Linked DNA regions of Mus musculus. The protein of the gene in region 1 purifies or fractionates together with the protein of each later gene. This does not show direct contact. Links are inferred from orthologs where the notes say so. Each region holds a gene or a part of one and is shown on either strand. Other genes may lie near its edges.

Region 1 (2,334 bases):
TTTTTTTAGCTATCATCCAAGGCTAGGTCCAGGTCCCTTTGCTCCCCCAGGACTGAGACTCCTGATACCTCTCCTTTAAAAATTTGTGTGAGGCAGAGGAGATGGCTCAGGCAATGGTGAGTACCCAGAATCGATCCCCAGCATTCAAATAGCTCACAACTGACTGTAACTCCAATTCCTGGAGATACTGGCTTCTGCAGGCAGCAGATATGCAAGTTGTGCACACCCACCTAGGCAAAATAGCCATACACATAAAAATTTAAATGTGTTTGTTTACATGTTGTGCACAAGCCACTGAACATGTGCAGAGGTCATATTGTGGAATCAGTTTTCTCCTTCCACCTTTACATGGGCTCCAAAGATCAAACTCAGGGTCACATAGAAAATATCTTTATGCATTGAACCATCTCACCTGTGCTATTCTGCTTCGGAGAGGTCAGTATAGCCTTGAACCCAAAACCTCCACACTGACTTCTGATTTGGAAACCACTAGTAAATGATGACCCGTCCAACACCAGATGACCTACTTCACCTGCCTTGATCCTTGCGGATACAGTTCTAGTCCAGAAGCTAAATTGCCCCAGTCCTGCAAAACAGCCTTAAAGCAGAGAACCTAAAGAGCCAGGCTTAAGTTTCAATAGTTTTATTGGGAGGTTTTTGTTTTCTGTGAAATATACTAGAGCTTGGGGAAGGGGACACATTCACTTTGCAAGGTAAGGGTTTCCCACCACTAAAGGAAAAGGCATGGGGCAGGGTACACTGGGGTTTGGATCCACTTTCCTACCTCCTTCTGCTTTGCTCACATTACTTTTTCTCAGTGAACACAACACAAAAGAAATTCAAAACAGATCAACCTCCAGAGGGGGTCACACCTAAATCTTCTCCCATCCCAGGCTTTGCCAGCACTGGGAGAGGCCAGGGCAGCTCACTCTACAGCCCTAGGCTGCACAGAAAGGCTGAGGGCTCAGACAATTACTCCAAAGTTAATAAATTAGAATAAATTATAAGGAGGAGGAGGAGGAGGAGGAATGCAATTTTGTGCTGGGAGGGTCCCTTCTCTCCAACACCTAAGAGTTGGGGGAGGAGATGGGTATCTCCAAAGGCCACTACATTTGGGACTAAGAGCAGTGGGGGTGGGGGTCAGCTTTTCCTCCACTCCTTCCCAAACAGCAAAATTGGGGGTGCACGATGCACACACACATGCACACACATGTACACACGCACACACACGTACGTACACACACGTACACACACGCACGCGCGCGCGCACACACACACACACACACACACACACACACACAAAGTTCTCTTTCCCTAGAACAAGGACAGACCAAGAAAGAGGATACTATCCAACTCCCATCTCCCAAACCATCCCTAAGGTTAAGGATATGGTCAGTGAATAAAATCAATAAGGTGGGTGATTGGAATGTGGTAGGGGAAGCAGAAGATGCTGGAAACAAGGATGCCTAGCCATACCATCTCCCCTGCCCTAGAGAAGGACATACAAGTTGGGGAGAGGGGAACAGGGGCTGGAGGAGGGGAGTCAGCAATCACTGATCAGCTTCTCCAAAGACATCATTCTGTTTGCGCTTCATGTTCTCAAAATCAAAGGCAGAACCAGCCATGCGTTTGTAGATATCTTTGATGTCATTGCAGGTTGTCTCAAAGTGTGTGGTAGCATCATAGGAGCAGGAACAGAACACCTGTAAATAGACAGAACCCCAGGGCTCACGGAAGTCAGGCAGAGGATCTTGGATAGACTGCAAGAACCAAGGCTGACTGGGACAGCATTTTTACCTGACTCTCTGAACCATCATCAATGGGCTCATATAAATCACTGATAGCCACAAACCTAAGGGGCAAATAAAAGAAAAGAAAGAAGAGAAAAGTCTCATAATGGGCCTTGCCCATTCCTAATCCCCAACCTCCCCATAAAGTTTGGTTCAGCCTCTCACTTCTGGTCAATGGGTTCCAACAGCTCCAATGCAGGCTCAACTTCCTTTTCTGGTTCTGCAGTCTCTACAGTGGTGCTGGCAATGGCGATGTATTTGCCCTGTGCGGCCACGTTGTGCGCATAGGAGATCATGCACACATAGATGTCTGACCATGGGAAGCCAATTGGTTAACATGTACCAGAGGAAAATGGCCACACACAAAAAGTAGTTCCTAGAGGCTAGACAGGAATCTGGCCCACATGCTCCTGCTCCCAACCCAACATGTAAACAGCATTCAAACTGTCATTTTCATGAACAAGGTAAGAGCTCAAGCCATCCAAGCCGCAGGGATTCTGTAACAAAATGTCACAAGAAGCCCTAAGATTTCTTGTGAGAAGAG
Region 2 (3,656 bases), on another chromosome or scaffold:
ACACAACCATCACACACATCACACACGTCACACACACATACATACACACATGAAATGTGTCTTACCTAATATCAGAGAGGTCACACTTGTTCCCAGCAATCGCCATCACAATGTTTTCTGGGCCGTGCTCCTTCAGCTCCTTGACCCATTTTTTCAAGGTATGAAATGAATCCTAACCAAAAAACAAAATGAGTCACTGAACAATCCTGTCGGTATACTTCAAAGAAGTAGAGATGTGAATCCAGTGTAATTCAATGGAGGAAAAAAAGACATTTTGTAGGGGTTAACATTAGCTAAGATGTCTCTTTCTCTTTTTTTTTTTTAAGATTTATTTATTTATTATATGTAAGTACACTGTAGCTGTCTTCAGACACTCCAGAAGAGGGAGTCAGATCTTGTTACAGATGGTTGTGAGCCACCATGTGGTTGCTGGGATTTGAACTCCGGACCTTTGGAAGAGCAGTTGGGTGCTCTTACCGACTGAGCCATCTCACCAGCCCAAGATGTCTCTTTCTAAATTAAAACTTGAGGGAGTTGAAAACCAACATGTGTAACTTTCTTCAGTAAGAACCACTGACTAGAAATATTAGCCTTGACTCTGTAGGAGCCAAAATCTCAGAACCAAACAAATACCGAGGCCTACTTCAGGAGAAAGGTGTGTGTTCGGGTCCTGCTTGCCCTTCACTCGACCCTCCTCTAGGGCAGAGGCCAAGTGGTCAGACATTTTGGGGAAAAAGGTCAGAACTCATGGACTACACAAGCAGCAATGATCCAGCTACCAGTCGGCATTCCAGAGGGACTGGGGCAGGAGGAACGCCATCAAATCGAAGCACTCGCTTGTTAATGAGTATACCTCAAAATCCATTCCAGGCAATCTCATCCACAGGCGATACATTCCAGGGTCCTCGGTGGACGCCTGACACACTACCTTGGAACCCAAGCCTAGAAACAACCTGTTTCTGTCCCACGCGTGCCTACGACACAGTTGAAGCAAACAAGTGGGCCGAGTAAGATAAAAACAGTAACAAAATAGCGTGGTCATAATCATAGAACACACTGTTTTAATTGTACCACTCGTTCCTAGAATTTTCCATCTAATACTTTTGGATGGAAGCTGACCTTGCATAGCAAGGACTACAGAAAAGCAAACCGCAGATAAATGGGGACAACCGCCTACAAGCACACACACACACACACAGTTACCTTTATATATACAAATATTACCTCTGACCTTTGAATGGTGCAACTGAACCTCCAACAGAAAATAGCCTATAATGATAAAACACCCGGGACTTAAAACTTTCTCAAGGAAAGTGTTCACCTGGCCTCCTGGTGAATGCTCAGTTTTAATGAGTGGCAAGGTGGCTCAGCAGTTAAAACTGCTGGCTGCTCTTTCAGAAAGACCAGGTTTGGTTCCTAGCACCTACATGGTGACGCGCAAGGATGCGCAAGTCTAGTTTCAAAAGATCCAATGCCCTCTCCTGACCTCAGTTGGGAACCAGACACACACGTAGCATATGATATACAGGCAGGTAAAACTACACATAAATAGAATAGATTTTGTTTTAAAAGATCAGCTTTCAAATGAATGTTTATTGCTTCCGTAATTGAAAAGATCAATCAGGGTGGCTTGGTGAGCGAAACGGGATGTGTAGCTTTCAGCTTTCTTGCCTGCCACATGGCCGAGGCTCCCAGGGCACTGGCAAGAATCACAAAGCACCAGTCTGCTTCAGTGTTTCTGGGACGGTCACCAAGCAGGGTGTCTGAAGCTGGAGACATCCTTACCTGCTTAGTGATGTCATAGACGATGACGGCTGCAGCAGATCCTCGGTAGTACATAGGAGCCAGGGAGTGGAACTGTGGAAGAGCAAGCAGCAGTCTTAGGCCTCGGTCAACAAACAGATTTTAAGCATCCCTAAGCCACACATTAAAATGTTATGCCACATCATCTCTGTAGGAGCTCGAAATCCCCCCTTGGACTTCTCCAAGACTTAAGATTAAATAATAAATTTTGCTCCCCAGCTAGCCATACACTTGTGGTTTATGGACCGTGAAATCTCCTCTGGGCCAAAAGCCAGAGACAGATTTATTTTCAGTGTTGCCTTCCTCTGAATTTCCTTTTCTCTGTTGGTCCAGGGCAGTCTCATTAGAACTCTGGAGTGGTAAGGAAAAGACAGGTCCCTAGGAGAGCTCAGAGCACTAGACCCTTGCAGAGCTACTGGCACGGAGCAAAGACCTGCCTGGTTGCAAAGCTTTATTGCCTACCAAGGTCAGCTAGTGGTGACACATTAGATGGGCTTCAGCCCCCAAACTAGGTTAGGAACCAGAACCTCTCATCCTCAAATAAGATGGATAATTATTCTCTGAATGTATACACTACATGCATATTTTGAATGGGGGCCTAGTCTTAATTTGTATATATATATTTTTTATTTAAAAAGCTTTTGGGATAGGCCAGTGAGTGAAAAAGAGCTCAGTAGGGAGTTGAAGAAATGATAAGTACTCACTACAAATTACCAGCAAATGTTTACACTTACTCAATTAACAAAAGAATGAACTAAAAATGATGAGGTGCTTAATAATGCAATAAGCGTTAAAAGGCCTTAGATTCAATGTTGGGGTGGTTCTGGGGAGCAAGACACCCTCAACTACTACACAGGGTGGTATTTAGTGCTTCCCCACAAAGCCACTGGGAACGACCTAGCAGAAACTGACATGTGCAATCCCTTTGACCCAGAAGTCTACTTACAGGAAATATATACTTAGTGTGGCCACCAGGTCCAGAAAGATATTTCCCTATGTTGTAAAGGAAGTAAAAATCAAAGACCGTGAAGGTTCATCGGGGCACTGTGTTATATCCTGGACTGAATGTGTGCTCCACACAACTCCAGGGTTGAGATCCTGATCATTGTGATGGCTTTTGGGGGGGAAGATCGGGGGTGTCATAGGTCATGGGGTCAGATGAGGTCATGAAGAGAGTCTCATGATGGGATTAGAGTATTTCACAGAGAGGAAGAATGTCCCCTCCACACCCTGTATACAAGGATACAGAAAGAAGAAGGCTGTCTGTAAACAAGGATCTACCTCAGCAATGGATGTATAAACTACTAGATCATTCCCCAACTGTTAGTGATAGAAAGTCCAGTAATTTTTACATTTAAAATGTTATACATCACACAATAATTTTAAGTAAGATGATTTTAGGTTAAAATGGCAATAAGGGCCAGTGGGATGGCTCAGCAAGTAAGGGCACTTGCCACCAAGCCTGAAGACCTGAGTTTAACCCCAGGAACCCACATGGCAGAAGCAGAGAACCGCATCTCCACAGTCTCTGACCTCTAACTGGGTCTAACAGAGTCTAACTGGTCTCTAACAGAGCCACATGGTCCCCACCCCCACACAACATAATAAGATATTTCAAAAAAAAAATCTGCTATTTTTATTGGGGCATAAAGGAGGGAGAGGAAAGATGATTCCTGTAGTTTTTCTGGCGAACAACAAAACTACCCATTCTCTCTCTTTCCCACATGCTACTTCTCGTTGGAATGCTCAGAAGACCTAGGGAGAAGCCAGGACGCCATGGTCACAAACAAGTCTCTCTTTGAAGGAAAACCACCCTGGAGTTCGGTAGCTTTTAAGAAATGGGGTGAGGGAGA

What was found. The genes of interacting proteins can lie anywhere in the genome.
Region 2: the proteins of Gdi1 (region 1) and Rab31 purify together in Homo sapiens (co-immunoprecipitation; 3 studies listed by BioGRID and IntAct, counting the BioPlex papers as one, with this or other methods). This does not show direct contact. The link is inferred for Mus musculus from reciprocal best matches to the Homo sapiens genes GDI1 and RAB31.

Annotation. Positions count from the first base shown.
Region 1 is NC_000086.7:74,310,156-74,312,489, reverse strand, and holds the end of Gdi1 (rab GDP dissociation inhibitor alpha), read right to left. Parts: intron 2,101-2,334; coding exon 1,956-2,100; intron 1,853-1,955; coding exon 1,798-1,852; intron 1,704-1,797; coding exon 1,551-1,703; 3' UTR 623-1,550; downstream 1-622. UniProt on the Homo sapiens protein: Regulates the GDP/GTP exchange reaction of most Rab proteins by inhibiting the dissociation of GDP from them, and the subsequent binding of GTP to them. Promotes the dissociation of GDP-bound Rab proteins from the membrane and inhibits their activation.
Region 2 is NC_000083.6:65,696,206-65,699,861, forward strand, and holds part of Rab31 (ras-related protein Rab-31), read right to left. Parts: intron 1,858-3,656; coding exon 1,786-1,857; intron 173-1,785; coding exon 66-172; intron 1-65. UniProt on the Homo sapiens protein: The small GTPases Rab are key regulators of intracellular membrane trafficking, from the formation of transport vesicles to their fusion with membranes.